3 linked regions of the Notamacropus eugenii genome follow. The protein of the gene in region 2 purifies or fractionates together with the protein of the main gene of each other region. This does not show direct contact. Links are inferred from orthologs where the notes say so. Each region holds a gene or a part of one and is shown on either strand. Other genes may lie near its edges. The genes, in order: SF3B4, SNRPA1 and SF3A3.

Region 1 (7,381 bases), on a different chromosome or scaffold from region 2:
TATTTCCCTCCAAAAATGCTATATATCATTATATAAATATTGTATTATATAATCATTTCTCCCCAGAAAAAATAATAATAATGTAAGCTCCTTGAAGCAAGGAACTGTTTCATTTCTGTCTTTGTATCCCCATCACAAGCACAGTTTGAGACTGTTAGGTGAATTAAAGTGAAAGAATAAATAAGATAATATTGAAGAGAATCAACCAAGTCAAGTAGTAAATACACACTTGCCAGCTTTACTATCTCCTTCACCCTCCTTCCTCCATCATACACCTCCTTCCTTCCAGGGGCGATACTTCAACAAGAATAATATCGTACAGGATAAACAAGGGATCCAGCTTTATTCACTGTCAATATTTGGGGAAGTAAAACCCAACATAGAAAAAAGTCCAGTGGGGGGGAAAAAATCACACTGGAAAAAGGGACAAATTTGAGGAAGAAAAGCGTGCCTCAGGCCCAGGGGGCAACTGTTCCTCTGACTGGTCCAAAAGACAGGGAGAGTCTCAGAGGAATGCAACAGATTGTAGAGAAATTTGGCACTACTGAGGAAGAGGGCCCCGGAGTGGACCCCGAGGGGGTACTGGCGGACGGGGGGAGGGCCGCGGTGGAGGAAGAGGTCCTCTTTGGTAGCCATAGGGTGGAGGTCGAGGGGGACCGCTGTATCCGTGGGGGGGCATTAACGGAGGAGGTCCTCGCATACCATGGGGAGGCATGGGGCCTGGGTGACCTGAGTGAGAAAAAGAGAGAGATCAGAGATAACAACAAACAGAGAATACATCATTATGAGGTAAATTCTGGGGAAAAAAGATGAAGGGAGGGCAGTAAGTGAAGAGTAAAGGAATTAAGAAAGGAGAAAGTATGAGATGGGTACAAGTCTACTCACCCATGGGAGACCCAAAAGGGGGTCCTCGGGGTGGCATTCCCATGGGAGGGGGGCCGGGATGAGGCATTCCTGGTGGTGGTCGTGGAGGAGGCTGCCCCCCTGAGCCTGGGGGCCCAGCATGGGGGTGTCCCAAGCCATGGGGACCATGGTGGGCAAGCTGCATCTGAGACATACCTACACAAAAGAAAGAAGACATAAGAATTAAATGAAGGGGGAAGCTAAGGTTATAGAAATGAGCAGAGGAAAGCAAGCCAGGAGTCCAAAACAAAAAGAAATTCCCCAACTGATAAATGGTCAAAGGACATGAACAGGCAGTTTTCAGAGGAAGAAATTAAAGCTATCTATAGTCATATGAAAAAATACTCTAAATCACTGTCAATTAGAGAGACGCAAATCAAAACAACTCTGAGGTACCACACCACACCTATTAGATTGGCTAACATGACAAAACAGGAAGATGACAAATGCTAGAGAAGATGTAGGAGAGTTGGAACACTATTTCATTGTTGGTGAAGCTATGAGCTGATCCAACCCTTCTGGAGAGCAATTTGGAATTATGCCCAAAGGCTTACAAAAATATGCACACCCTTTGACCCAGCAATACTGCTTCTAGACCATAAAAACAGGAAAAGTTCCCACACGTACAAAAGTATTTTTAGCAGCTCTCTTTGTGGTGGCCAAAAACTGGAAATCAAGGGGATGCCCATCAATTGGGGAATGGCTGAATAAATTGCGGTTTATGAATGTAATGGAATACTATTGTGCTATAAGAAACGATGAACAGGAAAACTTCAGAGAGACCTAGAAGGACTTATATGAACTGATGCTGAGTGAAAGGAGCAGAACCAGGAGAACTTTGTACAGAGCAACCATCACAGTGTTCGAGGAATTTTTCTGGTAGACTTAATCCTTCATAGCAATGCAAGGACCTAAAAAATTCCCAATGGACTTTTGAGGCACAACACCTTCCACATCCAGAGAAAGAACTATGGAATTGGATTGCAGAATGAAGCAGACAATTTTCTCGTGTTCTGTTTTTTCTCATGATTTCTCCCATTCATTTTAGTTTTTCCATGCAACATGGCTAAGGTGAAAATGTATTTAGGAAGAATGTATATGTAGAACCCATCTAAGACTGAATGCTATCTCAGGGAGGGAGGGGGAGGGAGGGGAAGAAAGGGGGAAAAAAATCTAAGATTTATAAAAGTGATTGAAGAAAACTGAAAAAAAAAAATTAATTAAAAAAACCAGTTCTCCTTTAGGCCTTCAGAGCTACCCTCAAGTGAATACAGGTCATCACTGTGAATGACTACAAGTGAAACAGATGGTCTTGGGGAAAACATCAGGCTGATTTAAAAGAAATTACCTTTACTTCTACAACTTCAAATAAAGTAAGATCAAAAAACCCCCAAAAAACAAAGAAGTAAAGGGATGAGAAAACAGGAGAATCAAGTTGGCAGGAAACAGGCCATAGCCATGCTATTTTTCTCAAAGAAAAATATACTACTTGATTAGTTAAAATAGAAAAACCTCCTACTCTCACAAGTTCTCTCTATGGGATCACATATCATCCCAGGAACAGAATTAGGAATTGGAGGGAGGTTGAAAGGATAGGAGGGACAAGGGAGGAGCCAAGTGCATAAGATATAGAAAAAAGAGAAAGAGAAGAAGAGTCAAGATGTAATCAGCCCCTTCCCCCTCATTTGTCCCTCTCATTCCCAGCACAGAACACCTACCAGGATGAGGCATCCCACCTGGTGGGAATGGATGTGGATGTGAGTGTCCATGTCCAGGATGTCCTGCTCCAGGGGTTCCTGTTGATGGAGGGCCATGGGCTCCAGCCCCAGGAGGCATAGGTGGTGGAGGCATGGCTGGGGGTATTCCTGGAGGAAGAGCTCCAGGAGGTGGCACTGGAGGTGGGAATGAGCCTGGTGGGGGCATACCTAAAAAGAAATATAGAAAGAAGAGTCTGTATCAATAAACCAGGACAGAAACTTTGTCCCACCATGTCCCCCTATTCACATGCCACTTAAGAAAATGACCTTCCCTCTCCACAAATTACTCATACAATAAGAGGCAATTTAAACAAAGATCTACAGCCTGGGCATTATTATCTCCAAGCCTCCCATCTCCAAACCCTTACTTCACTTCTTCACCATACTCCGACTATCCCTTCCGTCTCCTTGTCCCGCCAGCCTTGGTCTACCCCTCACTTTCACACGCCCAATCCATGTTTTACCTGGCGGAGGAAGCCCAGATCCCAAGGAAGACACAACAGGATTGGGGGCGGACGGTGGAGGTGGTGCATCCGCAAACAGCTGGTGGGGCCGATCCGCCTGGGACAGGGGGTTCTGGGCTGCCAGAAGCCGCTCGGCCGCGGAGCCGTGCCGTTCCCCCTTAGAGTCCTTCTTGAAGGCGTAAGACACTGTGATGGGCCGATTACACAGATACTGCCCGTTCATGGCCTCAATCGCTGCATCGGAGGCATCGAACGAAGCAAAATTAATAAAGGCGTAGCCCTTGGAGTTGCCTGTGTCAGGGTCCCGCATAATCTTGGGGGTCTGCAAAATAACCCCGAAGGCGCTGAAGGTGTCATAGAGCAGCTTCTCATCGATCTCGGGGTCTAGGTTCCCTATAAAAATGTTGGCCCCCACATCGAGGTTCTTGTTGTGAGCTGACGCTTTGTTCACTCGTATGGGCTTCCCGTACAGCTTGATCATGTTCATGATCTTAATGGCGTAGTCCGCATCCTCCTCGCTCAGGAACTCCACAAAGCCATAGCCTGGAGAAGGCCAAGGGCGGAAGGTTAGACTGGGCGCGCACCGTCCGCTAAGAGCCCCGAGGGGACACCATTTGTCCCACTCCCGCAAAAAAAAGAAAGCCCAGGGGCACGTACGGGGAAGAGAAGAAAAGAGCGTGCTTGTCATCGCAGCGGAGGAATCCAAGCCAAGGAAGCTAGAAGCCGCACAAAGTTTGGAGAGACGAGAGTAAAAGCCTCGCTGACACTGGCCGCCCGGGGGCGCGTGGCCTCGCACGCCCCTTCCCTCCCCCATATCCTCCCCCTCCTCACCTTGGTGCTGCCCCGTGACTCTGTCCTTGGGCATGTGCGTGTTGACCACGGGCCCCGCCTGCAGAAAGAGCTCCCAGAGCAGCGGCTCGCTGACCTTCTCGTCCAGGCCCCCCACGTACACCGTAGCATCTGCGGGGCGAAGGGATGCGGACGTGAGAAGGGGGCGGGCCACCGCCGGTGGGCAGCGGTGTCCGACCAGGGCCGGGCCTCACGCTGCCTTCCTCAGGCGGCTTCTCCACGGCCCGGGGGGCAGGTGCACGGGAAACCCGCGGAGCCCTCCCTTCCCGCCTCTCCCCTCTCCCCCCGACCCGCTCGGCCATGGGGTCGCGGAGGCCTCCGGGCCTCTGCGACGCGGCGAACCCGCTTCCCCAGCCCCCGGCCCGGGCCCCCTCAACGAGCCGGGCTCGGGCCCGTGCGGACGCGGTTCCGGGCTTCCCGCCTCCTCCCCCACTCACCCTGATTCCGTTCGGAGATGGGCCCGGCCGCCATACTGAATCTGCTCCCGCCGTCTCCAGGCAGCGGCCCCGCAACGGGAACTTTTCCGCTTCCGGGGCAGCGGTAGGGGCGGGGCTGCCGGAGGAGGGCAGCGTGAGACGCGGCGGCGGCCATCTCGGAAGCGCCGGGCGTGGGCTGCCATGTTGGCTGAGCTGGCACGGGCCGCCTGAGGCAGGGCTCGGAGTCCTACCATCAGGGGCTTCCTCCACGTGACTTCGGGGAGGGTCTAAGTAGCGGCTCTCCTCCCCCACTCCCAGCCCCGACCATGAACCACAGAAGCCTGAATGGAATAAACCTTTATTTTTCAAGATAACTAATCACAAGATCTTGACATTCTGACCGCCACAGTTTATCTCAGTCTCCCTCACCTCACCCCCAAAGAGCGGTACGAGGACCACCCCCAAATCGAGGTCAATCATGATCAGGACCTAGAAAAGCGGCTCCTGGCTCACAGACACCGAAACGCCCCCTTTCCTCCTAACCAGGCGGCGCCGAAAAGTTGCCATAGCAATGGGGGGCGTTTCCGCCCCCAACCCAGAGTTTGTGCGAATGGGGGAAGTGGGGCTGAGAAAGGGAGCGATGTGGAGCTGGAAAGAGCTTAGGAGTCCGTCCGGTCCAACCTCCCCTCAAGTCCACAACTGGGTAAACTGAGGCCCAGGGAGGTTTAGTAACCTAGGAAGGGCTCTGACGTTGGCAGCTTTGCTAAAAAAAAACAAACCACCCCCCCAAAAGTCACGTGACGGCGCTGCTGATGCTGCTGCCGCTGCTCCTGCTGCCGCTCCTGCTGCTGCCGCTGCCGCCGCCGCCGCCGCCGCCGCCGCCGCTGCTCCTGCTGCACGATCCTTCCTCCGGCCAATGTCACGCCCCGCCTCCAGCCCACAAGTCCACACCAAAATGAAAGCCCACCTCATCACAATGCATCGCTGCCAAACACACCAACGACTACTATTAGCAGGCCTCTCCCCCTGCCCAACGGGCATCCTCCAGCCCGAACCCCTCAGGATCTCCCTGGCACCCTAACACAAAGGGGGCCTAAGGGGCATTGATTGCACTAGTTCCTGACATCCAACGCCTGGCCTCTTCTTGGCACAGATGCTGAGCTTCCTGACCCTGTCTGTGGTCCAGCTCATCAATGTCCCACAAGGGTCCCTGGATGCAGCGGTGGGTCTGCTCTACAGCCATGGGTCTAGAGTTAGGAAGACCTGAGCTCAAATCCAGCCTCAGATGTTACTAGCTATGGCAAGTTTTGGGCAAGTCACAACCTCTGTGTCTCAGTTTCCTCCACTGTAAAATGGGAATTATAACAACACTTACTTCACGGGGTGGTTGTGAAGGTCAGAGTGAGCTAATTAATATTTGTAAAGCTCTTAGCACCGTGGTAAGTGCTGTATGCTTCTTTCCTTCCCTGCACTAGGCATCCTCCCTGGATGGTGGACTGTAGTTTTATAATGTATGGGCTTTGCTATATCCCGTACACACTGAGCATATTCATATATTCATACCTGTATAGGACCCAGTCAGTCAACTAGCATTTAGTGAAGCACCTACTATGTGCCAGGCACCATACTAAAGGCTGAGGATACAAAGAACGGCAAAAAATCCATTCCTGTTCTCAAGGCCGTCATGATCAATTGAGGAAACAAAATGCAGACAACTATGTACAAACAAGATATGTACAGGATAAAATGGGGGTGGTCTCAAAAGGAAGACACTAAGATTAATAACTGAGAAAAATGTCTTGAAGAAGGAGGGACATTTAGCTCAAAACACTAAACTATTCCATTACAAATTTTATTTTATTGGATTCCTTCAAGTTCCCAAGTGTGTACCATGCTCAAACTATATCTGTAACAAAGGATTTAAGGAGTAAACTCCTTCTTGTTAGCCAGTCCAGAACCATCCCTATTCTACGTGTTATCCTCATTTAAAGGTTTGGTCCCATACTACTTCCCACCAACTTCTAAATCTTGCTGGAGGTCTAAGGCTCGAACCTCCAAGAATTCAGATCTTAGCTTATTTCACAGAGTTTGATCTTTGACTTTAGCCTGACCTCCAATACAATTGAAACTCTTCTATATTACTCCCTGAAAAAAGTCACTGAGAAGTCTTCTTAATCTAGGCCATACAAGGGTTAACCTGTATATAATTGGGCCCCACCATAATTCTCACTTGGTCCCTTCTCCTCATTGCCTTGTTTTCCCTGAAACTAATATTGGCATTGGGTAATAAATGATCAGTCAGTTGGATGATGATGCTTGTGCCCACATATCATTCCCACAGTACAAGATTTTCTGTCCCCATTTTCCCGACTTTATCCTAGCACCTATTCCCACATTATTCTTCTCAGAAGCAAAACCTATAGCTTGTATAAATATTTTTCATTGATGGTTTCTGTCACTACCAAAACATCTACATATGGAGGTGGTAGAGAGTCTCCCAATCCTACTCAGAAGCCATAGAGAGCTGAGACTGGAGCATGAAAGACCTGGATTTCAAATCCATCCTCAAACACTTACTAGTTGTGTTGACTCTAGGCAAGTCACTTAAAGTCTGTTTCCTTAAATGAAAAATTGGGATAAAAATAGCATATACTGTGCAGGGGTGTTATGAGAATCAGAAGAAATCACAGTTGTAACCTAATATCTAACACATAGTAAGATCTATTCCCTTTCTTCCTCTCTCTTCTCCATTCTATTTCCATAGAAAGCTGCAAAGAGAATAACTAGAAATTAAGAAGTAGAGAGATAGGCAGAAGGAAAATTAGGATTAGGTCTGTAGGAGCCATGTTGGTGAGTCATAACCAGTACCTCCACTTCAAATACTATACAACCGTAAACACACAAAGGATAGGATGGTCTTGAAGGGAGCAGGTTAAGATCCTAAATAATAAGATAATTACAAAGAAAAACATTTCAGGCACAAAACAGTCTC
Region 2 (7,381 bases):
TGTTTTAAAAAAGAAAATGTATCTTCTCCCCATTTTTCCTGGTTATTTCCCCTCTCCCAACTTACTACCAAATATTAGGTTTTTTTCCTTAATTAGTGGATGGTCTATTTCCCCAAGTTGATTTGATGATAGACACAATGTTTCATATTCTCTAGCAAATAAAGGTCAGGGATAAAAGAAGAGCAAGTTTTCTTGATCTCTGTTTACGAATATATTTTAGAAATAGGAATTTAAATTTTTATTTTTAAAACTTTTTTGGATCTACATTTGCAATGATTATTCAAAATTTTTTTCAACTTACCAATTCCACAATACTATTGTTGGTAAGAATAAGTTCTCTCAGGCTAGGCAGGGCCTGATCAAGTCCCTCACCTATTCGGCTAAAACAGAATAAAGATTATTATAATAAAATCAATAATTGAATCAAAGAAGAAATAAAGCTTTTTACTCAAGATCTATAAAGAAACCTAAATATGAACAAGATTTATTTTTCTTATGTAACCAATTCACAAACCCATAGCAACTCAGAATTGAATGGTACCTTAGAGATCATGTGGATAGATCAACTCACTGCAGTATGTCTTTTGTTCTTGAAGAGGACCATGACATGAGGGAAGTAATGCCATGAAGTGCAAGTGAACTGGATTTAAGGGAGGGAGGGTAGTAAAAAGTCATCAGTCTTACTTTCTCCTCCACAGACCTTTGAGTTCAGTAGTCAGATATAGATCAAGAGAGCTGGAGATGGCCCAGGATGCATTGGGGGCCCTTGGCCTTTTTAAGTTAAGGTCTTCAATGGGTCTTAGTTTGACTGAGGTAAAGTTCACTCAGTGATTAAGGCTTAATAGGAACTGAGGCAGAGAATGGAGTCTTCCTCATTCTTCCCCCATCTTAAAAAAAACCATCTATCTGGGAGGGAAAGACCCTCAGGGTTTCTGATCAAAACAAAAACAACTGCTATTTACAATCACTCTGACCCAATCAAGGCCCAAACACCAAATAGGGCTTGGCCTGGGACCCACTGCTGGCCAATCAATGAGAGCAGTAGTGATTTGGGTTTAAAAAAAAGATTTCAGATATTAAGATTTATATTCCCTTGGGCCAAAGCACATAGTTAGCAGTTAAGGGTTTGACTGAAGTCATTCTCTTCCAGAGAGATGGACAAACAGCAACCAAGGTGAGTATAAAAAGAGCTATCCAATGGTGGAACTGGCCAGTTGGCAGCACAACTCTTTTCTTTTCCTTCCTTCTTTTCTTCTTTCCCTTTCCTCTATCCACATATGGTATCACATCCCAGATCAACTCATATCCTGAACAGAAACTGAGTAGTGGTCATCCAATCTCTGACTGGAGGCCTTCAGTGATAGGGAACCCACAATTCCCAGAGACAGCCCTTTCTACTTTAGGAGAAAAAACTGACAGCTGTTTCTACTCAAATTCTACAAGCTATAGACCTCACTCAGAGATGAAGTCCTACACATTAAACATTAACCAACCTAACTCACAGGAATAGGACCCACCCATTGTTAAGGGTAATGTAAACTTTTTTTTTAAAAGGCAGAACACAATTTTTTCTTTTAACTTAACTCCATAACCTTTGCACACATATCAAATTTCACACAAATAAGACCAATTAATATTTTCTGTTGGCTACGATGTTGTTTCAAGACAGCAGACTGAACCATGAATCCAAGATAAAATCTGGTAGGAGAGGCAGACACAAAGTGTCAATCAGGTGAGGCAGAAAAAGTTAGTAAATTATACTTGCACAGACCTTTTACTTACTCTCATTTCATAATTAAAAACTGCATATATGCAGAAAAATACCAAGCAATAAACATCAAAAGAGGGCAATAAAAATTATTAAACTAAACTTTTGTCAGTAGCTAATTTCCTTATGTGGATGATCCTTTGCAACGTGAATTTTAGATACATGAAACAGAAACTAGGATTAAAGACTGCCATGAATTATTTGAATTTCTGTGAAAGAATAAAACTTTTCAGCTTTAAAAAATTTCAGCATACCTGCAGCTGCTTACCATGCTTTAAGCTAACAGCTAACTCAGGGGAAAAACTAACACTTACCATATTCTATTATTATTCACCAATAATGTTTTCAGTCTTTTCAACAAGGGAAAACCATCCAACTTTCTGATTTCATTATCAGAAAAATCAATAGCATCAAACTGATCCAAGGTAGCCCCCAAGTTTTCAATTACAGGAATCTTGTATCCTGGAAAACAGTAAAGATATTAGATTACACTGAGGTAGCCAAGGTACACCATAGCTAAAATTAACAGTGTCAGTAAATTAAATCAGGTATTGTTATCCATTTTAGAATCTACACCATGAGAGCACCAGCAATTCTTCATTCAACAAACAGTTAAGTAACCAGTACTTATTAAAGTTTTGAGGATGACACAAAGGAAAGGTATAGTTTCTACCCATATTGGAACTTAAAACCTATTTTGAGAGATGATACACATATGGAGCATTTAAATAACAACACAAGGCAATAATGTTAAATTACTGCTGGTGGAATTATGAACAGGTTCAACCATTCTAGAAAACAATTTGGAATTATGCAAAAGTTACCGAATTGTGCATACTCTTAACAAGAGATTCTGAAGTTGGGACTGGATATAAAAGATACAAGAAAGCCTCAAATGTACAAAACTATCCATAGCATAAATTGTGACAACAAAAAAATGAAGCTAATATGTGTCCCAACAACTGGGGAATGGACGAAAAATTTATAGTGTGTTAATCTGTGCTATAAGAAATTAACAAATAAGGTGATTTCAGATACAAAGATTTCAGAGAAATAAATTATTTATTACAGGTGATAGTGAAGACAGTAGACACATGCATATATGTGTGTATATAAACATATATACACATGCATACATACACAGATATGTCAATGCCCACAAACATTAAAAGGCAGCAAAATTTGGTCAAATACGATGACTAGAAGTTGCTACAAATGCCAACTAAGTTAAAACACACAATTCTCTGTCCTGTTAATCTAGTTTTAGGGAACATACTTTGCTGGGGGTGATTGTGTGTTTGCTGGGAAGTGTACGAAAAAGTATCATTAAATTAAATATAAACATATATGACAATAAACATGGTCAAAGACAAAAGAGTTTTCTTAGAAAAGGTGAAACTTGAAGTGCACCTCTATCTACATTTAATTTAATAATATAAAATTTTTTAAAATAACTGCTCATGGGTGCAATATAAAACTTATGAAGTTTAAGGAATTGGGATTTCACAGAAAAAGGATGAAAGGTCAACCTCCCCATCCTAGTGTGAAAACCATGTTCCAAAGTGATGCCTTCCTTCCATGAAATCTCTCATATTTTAACTCATGCCTTGTCACACCAAGACAGTATTTCATTTTGACCTGAAAATTCCTTCTGTTTAAAGTAATCTAGTCCAACCCTTTCATTTAACCAATAAGGAAACCGAGGTCCAGAGAGATGAAGTGATCAGCATTATACAGGTAGCAAGCTATGAAACCTGGACTCAAACCTAGCTTAAAAAAAAAATCAAAACAATTTAAAGCTCTTTTCACACACAGAATCTAATTCTTCACATCTGCCTGTCCACTTGCGTGGCCCTCAAAAGTCCATGTTACTGTGGTATTTCTCCTTAGTTCACTGTACCTGGTTCAGTAAGTTTCAGTTGGAGGTTAGCTTAATTCAAGTAAGATACAGTACAGTTCCCAACTAAGACAGAATGTGATCTCTACGTGCAAATTAGCTCATAAACATCAGAACTAAAGTGAAGCCTGCCTTTTCAATTTTTCAATTAAGCAGATAAGACTACGAAGGGTAATAAAAGAGAGAAAGGTCAGAATGAACAGCTTCTGAACATCACGGACTACATACACCGTGAGCGTCACTACACCGGAGTACGTGTGAAAGCAGGGAGTGGTCCAAAAAATGGAACCGTTGGAGGGGTCCGTGGTGGCGGGGAATGTCACAAAATGAAGTGAGACTCACTGGGCGGTAAACAAAGGAGCGAGGGTGCTACAGAATAGCGGATAATATGAGACAATAAGGGAGCGGTCGCTACAGAGTAACAAGTGACAGACCGGGCCTGTCACGCTCTCTAAAGAGTTACCCTCTTCCGCGCGCACCAAGAAACTCCAATTTCCTCCACTCTGTTCGCGGGGGTCTCGGGAGCCCGGTGGGCAGGCCCTCGAGCACGCCCTCTCCCTTCCCCGGGCGGGCCTCAGTTTCCTCCTCTGTGTTCGGAGCGGAGGTTGAACCGCACAGCGCGGCGAGCTGCTGTTCTACAGCTTCGGAAAAGGCCGCCCGCGGGCCCGCTAAGCGCGCGCAGGCCACCCAGCGCTCCATGACCCCGGCCCGAGGCCCAGCGCGGGGGCCGCGGTCCTCTCCGTCGCTCCTCCCAGCGCCCTGATCTTACCTCTCAGGTCCAGCTCACGGTCCCGCACGGCGTTGGTGTACTGGGCCGCCTGCTCGATGAGCTCCGCCGTGAGCTTCACCATCTTGTCGCCACAAGGCACCGCAGACTCCGCTCCTTCCGGCCCCCAAAGAATACCCAGCAGCCTCCGCGCACCGCCCCCGCGGTCGGACAGAACCAATCACGGGCCTCGGGAGGCCGCAGCGTGTTCAGGCCAAAGCCATCAATTCGCGAATCACGGAGATCGGAACTACTGCCTGTCTTCCGCCAGAACTTCGACCAAAGTCCCAATCGAGCTCCCGGCACTCACTGTTTTAAAGTCCCTTGCGTTGCTCTCGTGGAGCCACCTTTTATGTCTCTTACAGGCTCGTTTAGGGTCCTTTGCAAAAATAGGGCTAAATGTGTGCTTTGTAGGGTGAAGGAACGCAGGACAGCGTGTTTCCGACGCATCCATTCAGTAGCTAGCTAGTAGCTAGCATTTATAGAGAGCTTTAAGTTTTGCAAAGCGCTTTTTTTTTTCTGCTTGTGTTACCTCATTTGATGCTTCTGGTTATGGAAAAGCATTTGGGCAAGAAAAGATTCTGCTACTTCCATTAATTTATTTATAGCAAGAAAAGACTCACATGTACAAAAAGATCTTCATAGAAACTTTTTTTAAATAATGCGCCAGCGACTGGGAATGACAGAATGAATTGATATATAAATATGATGGGATAAATTACATCATAAGGAATGATGAATATGAAAACTCCATGGGAAGATTTGTAGAAAGTAGTGAAGCAGAATTAAGAAAGCCGAATTAAAAGAACAGTATAGAGCAACAAGGTAAATACAGATAACATCAAGAGGTAGCAAAACTGGTGGTCAAATATAAGCAACAGAACAATGTATCGTACTAAGTTAGAACACACATTCTTTTTGAATATTGAAACCAGCCTTTGATGGTTGTGGGGACGGGGATGGGGGTGGAGGGTGGGGGGGTGGTATACCCTTTGAAGAGACATTTATTTGAGGGTTGTGAAAAGTGTTGTATAGAGAAACAATGTATCAAAAAGGAAATAAAGTAGCAAGTTATAAATCTATGAAAGCAATCTCTAGAAATGTAACTATGCAGACTTCCCTCCTAGTGAATATGCTAGGAATATTATTTCTATTCCTTTTTTAATGGATAATACCTAATAACCCATACTTAGACCATAATAATTAGAATTGTAGCCCCTGGGTTGAGAAATGTCTGTTGAGTTTCTAGGCAGGGTTGGGCCTAGTAGCCACTTTCTGTTGTGCCCCTTCGCCTAGCAGCCCCTCTCTTTGTACCCCTTTGCCTGGCAGCTGCCTGGGCCCCCATCTCTGTTGTACCCCTTTGCCTGGCAGCTGCTTGAGCCCCCCTCTCTGTTGTGCCACCTTGCCTAGCAGCACCTAGGAACCCCTGTCAAAACTGTTCTGTGAAAAATGTTTGCTACTGGAACTGCAAGACTGTACTGGGAAGTGCTAAGATGCTTAAAAGGCACACACACCTTTGTTCGGGGCTGCCTCTTCTGAGGACAGCCGCCGGCTAATAAAGACGCTCCCAAATTCTCAATTGACTCTTGCCTGTGCTTGTCTCGGTCTGTCCATTTCAGTATCAGAAAAAAAAGAGCACTATAGTTGAATTATTCCTGTTCTAAAATCTATGGTTTTGTGCTATATGATATAGTAAATATTGAGCCTCTTCAATAGCTCTGAAACCTTTGAAAAAATACATGAAATGACTCATTGTAGCATAGAGGTTTTGACAGATTCCTCCAAAATTGAAAAGCCCACAGTCCAAAGATCAACTTGCTAGCTGAGAGATATTTCTTACCAAAATTGTGGCCTTTAGGTGATGGATTTGAAGGGTGCCACAACATTTCATTTATATCATCTGCTAAATCATAGAGTATGTTAAGGGGGAAAAATGTCTTCATTGCTTATAGTTATATCAATTAGAATCAAAGATTTGTTAAATAATGCAGTTGCAAGGAGAGTGTTCTATATTGACATGGTGACTCAAGTATCAGGCATAATCTGGAGGCTTTCATATATCTTCTTTTTTAAAAAAAATTTACATGCATTTCTAATTTATCCCTCTCAATATTCTACCCCTCACTGAACAACAACTAAAAAAAGCCCCACAACTTGAACAGGCATAGTCCAGCAAAACAGATTTCCACATTGGTCATCTCTGCATTATTAACCTCTGTGGAGGAAGTATTTCATCTTCAGTCCTCTGGAATCATGGTTTATTGTTCCACTGTCAGAAATTTAAATTCTTTCAAAGTTGTTTTTCTCTGCAAGGTTGTTGTAATTGCACAAGCTGTTAAAGATCTGCTCACTTTGACATAAATTCATAGAATTCTACCCAGAAGTCTATTTTGATTTTTTCTTATGACACAATAATATTCCATTATTCACATATACCATAATATTTTTTAGCCATTCCCCAATAAGTATATACCCCTTTAGCTATCAAATTTCAGCTACTATGAAAAGTATTGCAATAAATATTTTTGTACATATATGTCCTTCTTTCTTTGATTTCTTTCAGAGGATAGGCCTGATAGCGATATAGTTGGGTTAAGGGATATGCACTGTTTAGTAACTTTTGGATCCTAACCCATATATTGTTTTCCAAAATAGCTGGATCAATTCACAGCTCCAACAATGAAGCGATGTGCCTATTTTCCCATAGCTCATCCAATATCTGTCATTTTTCCTCTTTGGTCATTCTTTTTCAGTCCAATGGATATGAAACAGAACCCCAGAGCTACTTTAATTTGCATTTCTTTATTTATTAATGATTCAGGGTACTTTTTCCACGAGGTTATTCAGAGCTTGGATTTCTTCCTTTGAAAATTGCCTGTTCATATTCTTTGGCATATTTTTATTAAGGAATGTCTTTTAATATATTTTCAAGAACAATTTAAGCATGTAC
Region 3 (7,381 bases), on a different chromosome or scaffold from region 2:
CCTTTCTTCACAATGCTTCCTTACCCTGGAATTCCCTTCCCACACCATTCTATCTAACCATCTTTCACGGACAAGTTCAAGTCCTTATTCTTGACAGAAGCTTTCCGTTTCCTCAACCCCCAGCACTTTATTGCCTCTAAATTCCTACTGGCTGTATCCTCAGACTCATGCGAGGTCAGAGCTGGAAGGATCTTAGTGGTCATCCAATACAACCATCCCAAAACTGAGGCCCAGAAACATGAAGTAGTGACTTGCTCAAAGTCACAGAGCTCGTTAGTTCCAGAACTGAATTAAAGCCTGTTCTCCTGGGTACAGGGGAAAGAGTCCTGAGCTGAAGCCCAGTATACCATGGCTGTCTCCTGTCTGGTATTTAAATATGTCACTCTGCAGGGATAGTTAGCTCTTTCAGGGCAAAGACCAAGCCACAAATACTGTGAACAACTACACATCATAACAGTAATAATCATAATGAACATTCACATAATCCTTTAGAGCTTGCAAAGTGCTCACCAAACATTGTAACAACCCTGGGAAGTAGGTACTACTATTATCCCTATTTTACAGATGGGGAAACTGAGGCTCAGAGAAGATAAATTACTCACCCATAGTCACATAGCTAGTAAGTATCCAAGGCAGGATTTGAGCCCAAGTCTTCCTCACTTTAAGTCCCGCAGTCTACTGTGCCACTACACCAAAACACCTATCTGTCATACTATACTAACAACAATAAAAATATATATATTCTCTACATTCATACATGATTTTACAGGAAAAGGTGTTAATACAGCAAACAAGGAAAGACAGAGACAACTGTTGCCAAAGTCTGTCTTACACTGTCTTTCAATGACAAATATACTGACACTTGCTCAACTGTTGTAGGTCATCAAAACAATTCAAAGGTGCAAATTAGGTAACTGATGAGTCAAAACAAAACCAAAGATCAATAGTGTTCCTCCTCCCTGCTACTTCTTTCTCAAGTATCCCTTGGCTCACTCTGAAAGTCTATGCTTACCTCATTTGGGTGCTTCCGGTGGAATTCTTTTATCTGTTTGAGTCTATTATAAAATTCTGCGAATTCATTTGGTCCTGAAATAGCACTGAGTTCCTCCTTTCTTAACCTGAAATTCCCAAAGGGACCAAAAGAGAAAACAAAGGACCAGGGTCAGTAATTTGATTGACACTGGCACCCCACAATCACCCATACATGGCGCAGCACTGCCACTTACCCATCCTTGTCATCATACAAATCTCTCAGATTCCCACTGACTTCCATATACCTCTAAAAGGCAAAAAAACCAAATAAAAACACTGTATCAACATAAAGCAGTTTCTGTCGCCACATAGTTGGATATCCAACAAAGACTCTTCAGTGATTATTCAAGATAAATTAAGGGACACAAGGACTTCAGCAGACAGTAAAGATGTTACTTATATTGTTATTGCTGTATTCATCCTTTGGTTATCGAAAAGACCGTGTGCACTTGACTTTGTTTTGAGTGAGGGTCACCAGCCTCACTTTTCCTCCTGAACCATCTGGATCCAGTGACCAGATATTCATCAGGATGACTGGAAACGGCCTTATTTATGACATAATTTGAGAATGAAGGTCTATTCCCCATTTAACTTCTTTCTCTACTAACCCATCATCATTCTCTAATATTACTTTTTGGTCTAGCACCTTAGTAAAATCTAACTAAGTGGAGAGTTAAGAAGAGCATAGTATGCTGGCCTCAGTCATCAAGACATTAGTGGGAACATATTTATTAGAGACTTTTTATATTCAAAGCTAGAGCAGCTTCCTCAAAGATGGGATGAAAACTGTATATAAAAGAAGGGAGTTAAAAGATAAGTCTAAAAGGAAGGCAAGCTTGGTGGTACGATAGTAGTAGTAATGGTGGTGAAAAAAGTGGTAGTATTAACAATCAATTAAAAAAAATTAGTTCTGAATTCTCTCCTTCCCTCCACCACCCAATGAAAAGGCAGCAACAAAAAAAGTACAATACCCATTATATGCATAAAATAACGCAAAATATATTTACACGTTCCTTATTTCCAGCTATAACTACAACTAATAACATAACACTTCACAATATTTCAAAGGTCGCCAAGTGGTTTACTCAATCCTGTGCAAATATGATTACAGTTGTTTCAGAAAAGAGAACACCAAAGATTAAGTTGTGAAATGCCTTGCTTGAGGTCATAAACGTTCTAATAACAATCGCTACCATTTATATTTCACTGTAAGGTTTGCAAAGCTCTTGACCAGCACCATCTCATTTTCACCTCACCACAATCTTTGGAGGTCGGTGCTAGAACTATTCCCATTTTACAGATAAGGACACTGAGGCAGACAGAGGTGAAGCGACTTGCCCAGGGGTGCACAGACAGGAAGCACGTGAACTCAGGTCTTCCCCATCCCAGGCGGAGCTGGTCTATCGGCTGTGGTAAAGGCACCACAGGAGGGGCCTAGATCGTCCAAAAGCGTGGCGAGCAAGGCAGAGGTCTTGGTCAGGCAGGGGACAGACCAGATGCTTGCCCAGGGGTACTCCTGAGAGTCCAACCTCTTCCTTCTGGCGGCTCCCTTCAGAAGCGAACCTACCTCTCTGCACAGAGAGGGTGGTTAGTGGTCACTGAGTCGGAAGGAAGCCCCAGGAGAAACGCCAATCCCCACTGGTCCGTGACCGCCTTGAGAAGCGGACTGTTTGCTGTTGTGCCCTCAGCACAGTGCCAGGCCCACAAGTTCTGCCGGACCACGGATGGCCTGGTGCCTCGCCGCACAAGCACTAATTAGGCGCCCGCTATGCCGGTCAATAAGCCGCTATTAACAGTTTATTCATTTAAATGATACGAAATTAATAAATTAATTCGGTCAGCAAACTTAATAACAACTTAATTTCAATAACTAATAAATTTAACGATTTAGTTAAAATAACTTAATAACAAACTCGGAGGACGCAGGGAAAGACACAAAAGCAGGCAGTCGCTGCCCTTCAGGGGCTCCCGGTCTCACGGGGGAGACCACCCGCAAACAGCCGCGGAGGACCCGGACTCCCCGAGCGGCCGGCCGGGCCTGCCCAGTGGGGGGCCTACGCTCCAACAGCCTTCGGCCCCTCCCCGCCCCAGCACTCACGTCCTGCATAGCCCGAGTGCGATGGTCCGAGTTGATCTGGTCCCGGAGCTGAAGGGGGAAGACACAAGAGCCTGGGTCAGCCTCCACCCGCCGGGGACGCTCGGCATTTCCCTTCCTCCAGACCCCCCCCCCCCCACCCCCGGACAGAACGGGACCCCCAGGCTGGACGCGTCCCTGGCACACGGGAGATCCTGGGAGCCGGGGGAGGGGCAGGATCCCGGATGTGGCCGCTTTTTTTTCCTCTCCCTCCCCGTCTCGTCCCGCCGCCCTCCCTCCGGCCGCTCACCGTGGACTTCTTAATAAGCATTTCTTTGGCCATGACGTCCATGAGCCGCTCCTTCTCTTCATGGTAGCGCCGCTGCTGCTCGAGGATGGTCTCCATCTTGCCCCCGCCACCTCTACCTCACTCCGGAAGTTGCGGCAGCCGCCAGTGCGCTTCTCCGCGCTCTTCCGCCCGCGCCTCACACCCAGCGACACCAAGGTTCCGCCCTCGCCGGAAGTCCTTGCTTGGGATCGGGGATGGGGGAGGAGACAGTACAGGGAGCGGCAGCGAGAGCAGCGGGGCGCTGGGGCCGAGGCGGCAGCGCCCCCTGCTGCCCTTGCGGAGACACTGGCGCCCATCAGCCGCCTGCGCGCAGGGTGTCCCGAGCTGCCAGAGTGGGTGCGCTCCCGGGGCGTCCTGGAGCCTGGGCTCTGGGGGCCAGGGCCGGCGAGGCACCAGCCCTCATTCCCAGCCTGGCCCCTTGACAGCGGGCCGCGAGCGCAGCCGGGGAGGTGTCCCGTCCCCATTTCACAGATGAACAACTGCCCTTGTTGTTACTACGTCCAGAGCCCTTATTTTAGTCTTCGCCTTCCTCACACTTGCACGATGCTTTACTCATCATCCCAGAGCGTCCTTGGAAACGTTCAGGATCCACGTTTCACAGCCTCATTTCACAGATAAGACCCCGAGACCCGGATAAAGTGGCGCAAACCAGACAGAAAGCCCCTCTTCCACGATGAAATCATCCCTACACAAGTCTCCAGGGACTCCCTGTTGCCCTCGGAATCAGATACAAAATGCAGTTTGTCATTCAAAGCCCTGCTCACTTTTCTAACCGTCTTACACCCTTACCTTGTACTCTTTGATCTGGCAACGCTGGTCTCCTGATAGTTCCACAAACAAGACCTTCTCTCTCTGCTTTCTCGGTGTTTTCCCTTGGATTTCTGGTCCCTGCACCTAGATGGCTCTGGAGGAGAAAGTGAGGCTGGTGACCTTGCACAATCCTGCCTCACTTAAATCCAATTCACTTGCAGGTCATGGTGTTGATGGGCTTCAGACTCTGGGAACCTCCCTGAGCTCCCCTTGAATCTTCCCACTTAACGTGGCCTTTCATACTCAAATCTGTTGCCCTTGGCCTAGCGTGGCCTTCCATTGTCTGTTACCTTTTGCACCTACTTTCCACCCAGACCCTGCATTGTCTGATACTTCCCATTTGCTTCCAGCTGTTTCTCACCCTGGATTTCATCCCTAGTTACCCCAATTCATCCCATCAAGATCCTCCTTAGACCCTCCTCCCAGACCTCTAGATCTTTCCCACACACATTCTGTATATAAGTTCCCTCTAGCCTCCATGAAGGCACTCAGATTCAGTCCAGCTCAGATTCTGTCTAGCTGAGATTCTATCTGGCCCACTTGGGAATACAAGCCTTACAAATGCTTAAGCTCCTTAAGAGTCAACCAATATGGCAAATCTTTAATAAACTTTGTTTTTCATTGTTTTTGAGAAGGCTTGAGTCAAATTCATTCGAGCAAAACCCGGCGTGTCAGTATTTCGGGGTCCCCAGCAGCCCTGAACCTCAACAGTATCACCTTCCTGATATCATGGTCCTCCTCGGCTTCCTTCAAGTCCCCACCAAAACCCCACCTTCCGCAGGAAGCTTTTTAATCCTAGCACCTTTTCTCCATTGATTATCTCCAGTTTATCCTGCATGTAGCTTGTTTGTACTTAATTGTTTACCTGTTGTCTGAGTTAACTCAAGAAAAAGGCCTGGTTTTTGCCTTTCTTACTATCTCTAGTGCTTAGTATATAATTTTAATGTTTAACAAATATTTGTTGGTTGACATATCTATCTACACAGGAGAAAACTACATAGGAGGCTCAGAGAACAATTTCCATAGTCCTTTAAAATTTACAAAACTCTTTTTTCACAGCCTTGTGATGTTATCACTCCCATTTTTACATTTTTACAGACTCTGAGATGAAGTGAGTTGCCACGGTTTACACAGCTCCCACTCTTTTTCTGCTCCACTGTTACTGATGGGGTTCAGACTCTGGGAGCCTCTTTGACTCCCCTTGAATCTTCCCACTTAATCTGGCCTTTCTTACTCAAATCTAATCTTCCCATTTGTTCCAGCAGTCTCAGGAAGCCCATGGGCTTTTCATTATCATTCTTCTCAGGTCTCTGTTGCACTCCCCACCCTTGATCCCATCAAAACCCCATTCCCCAGTCTACCAACCACTCCCCTCAAGATCTGTATCCATTCCCATACAGCCCCTATCAAGAGCTCTGGATTGCCCCACCTGCTTCCCACCTAGGTGCCCCCTAGTCTGCCCCCTAGTCTGTCTTGTGATAGCCTCCAGCTGTTTCCAGCCTTTGACCCTCCTTGGATTTCCTCCTGGGACTTCTCCTCAAGACCCTTCCTAAACCCCTCCTCCCATCACCCTGGACTACTTGACCACCCCCCAGATCCCTCCTATACCCTTTTTTGTGTTTAAGTTCCATCTTGCCTCCATGAAGGCGCTCAGATGCAATCCAGCTCAGACTCTGTCTAGCTGAGATTCCATCTGGCCCACTTGTGAATACAAGCGTCACAAATGCTTAGGCTCTTTAAGAGGCAACCCAATTTGGCGAATCTTTAATAAACTTTGTTTTCTTTGGCTTTAAGAAGGCTTGAGTCGAATTCATTCGAGCACGACCCAGACTGTCTGTATTTGGGGGTTCCCCATCACCCCTCAACCTCGTCATTACCAGCCCATATGTTGGCTCAACCTTCTCTCCAAGTTAGCAATAAACTGTTCTCCCACGGAAAATCAATCTAATCTATTGACATAAGGTCTTCTGGTAGTCAACTTGCCTTGGAGCTACTGCTTTTGTTGAATTTAAATGTTTAGCTTGGGGAGGATAAGTCAATGATTGGTTTAGCACTCTAGGCCACACATCTCAGCTCTTGTCTGTGGATAAGTTCATTTACCTTATACTTTCAGTGAGGTACATGTAGATGATGAGGTTAATGCACACATTGCCAAGGCTCTCTCAGTGTTTGGGAGGCTCCCAAGGAAAGTGCAAGAGAATAGTATTAGACTGCCTACTAAACTGAAGGTCTTCAGAGCTGTTGTGCTGACCTCATTGTTGTACGCCTGCGAAACCTGGACAATCTACCAGCGCCATGCCAGGAAACTGAATTGCTTCCATTTGAATTGTCGTAGGAAGATTCTGATCACCTGGCAGGATAAAGTACCAGATGCTGAGGTCCTCTTTTGAGCTGAATTGACAATCGTTCAAACTCTGTGGGAGAGAGTATAACTCAGATGGGCTGGCCACATTGTTCAAATGCCAAATGTATGTTCACCCAAAAGATTATTTTAAGAAGAACTCACACAAGACAAGCAGTCACGTAGAGGTCAGTAGAAGTGATACAAGGACACTCTCAAGGTCTCTTTGAAGAGCTTTGGAATTGATTGTGAGGCATGGGAGACACTGGCATAGGACTGCCCAATATGGTGTGTCAGTATCAAAGAAGGTCCTGTGTGTGTTCTATGAGTAAAACAGAATTGCAGTAGCTCAAAAGAAAGGTGACATGCCAATTTAGAGATGTCTCCACTCCAAATGTCCATGTGGTCTGTTTGTGCTCAGCCAGTGACAGACCCTTTTAGGCTTGTATTACCACAGTTGGACACACTGATGCTGACATGGTGATGTCATTTTAGTCCTCTTTGAGTATTAAGGATAACAACCCACCAGCTATTAATCATCTACCTTGTAATAGGTGTTTAGGGATGGGGGCAGCAGATAGAATAGAATCAATGTGGCTTAGTTTAGTAATTTCAATGCCAAGTGCTATACCCTTTATGAAATACCTCCAACTTTAACTCATGGGTGGATCCCTAGGGGGCAACTGCCCACAGGTTTAAGGTACTCTGTGTTTTACACTCGTAAAAACTGTTGCTCATGAGCCCCCACCAGAGCATTTACTTCTAATAATCATCA

What was found.
Region 1: the proteins of SNRPA1 (region 2) and SF3B4 purify together in Homo sapiens (affinity purification with mass spectrometry; 3 studies listed by BioGRID and IntAct, counting the BioPlex papers as one, with this or other methods). This does not show direct contact. The link is inferred for Notamacropus eugenii from reciprocal best matches to the Homo sapiens genes SNRPA1 and SF3B4.
Region 3: the proteins of SNRPA1 (region 2) and SF3A3 purify together in Homo sapiens (affinity purification with mass spectrometry; 6 studies listed by BioGRID and IntAct, counting the BioPlex papers as one, with this or other methods). This does not show direct contact. The link is inferred for Notamacropus eugenii from reciprocal best matches to the Homo sapiens genes SNRPA1 and SF3A3.

What each region holds. Positions count from the first base shown.
Region 1 is NC_092873.1:303,752,737-303,760,117, forward strand, and holds SF3B4 (splicing factor 3B subunit 4), read right to left. Parts: upstream 4,903-7,381; 5' UTR 4,565-4,902; coding exon 4,411-4,564; intron 4,085-4,410; coding exon 3,956-4,084; intron 3,668-3,955; coding exon 3,125-3,667; intron 2,829-3,124; coding exon 2,622-2,828; intron 1,060-2,621; coding exon 886-1,059; intron 730-885; coding exon 542-729; 3' UTR 325-541; downstream 1-324. UniProt on the Homo sapiens protein: Component of the 17S U2 SnRNP complex of the spliceosome, a large ribonucleoprotein complex that removes introns from transcribed pre-mRNAs.
Region 2 is NC_092872.1:153,138,325-153,145,705, reverse strand, and holds the start of SNRPA1 (U2 small nuclear ribonucleoprotein A'), read right to left. Parts: upstream 4,664-7,381; 5' UTR 4,517-4,663; coding exon 4,435-4,516; intron 2,231-4,434; coding exon 2,083-2,230; intron 381-2,082; coding exon 302-380; intron 1-301. UniProt on the Homo sapiens protein: Involved in pre-mRNA splicing as component of the spliceosome. Associated with sn-RNP U2, where it contributes to the binding of stem loop IV of U2 snRNA.
Region 3 is NC_092876.1:81,242,144-81,249,524, reverse strand, and holds the start of SF3A3 (splicing factor 3A subunit 3), read right to left. Parts: upstream 3,646-7,381; 5' UTR 3,513-3,645; coding exon 3,417-3,512; intron 3,179-3,416; coding exon 3,131-3,178; intron 1,280-3,130; coding exon 1,227-1,279; intron 1,119-1,226; coding exon 1,013-1,118; intron 1-1,012. UniProt on the Homo sapiens protein: Component of the 17S U2 SnRNP complex of the spliceosome, a large ribonucleoprotein complex that removes introns from transcribed pre-mRNAs.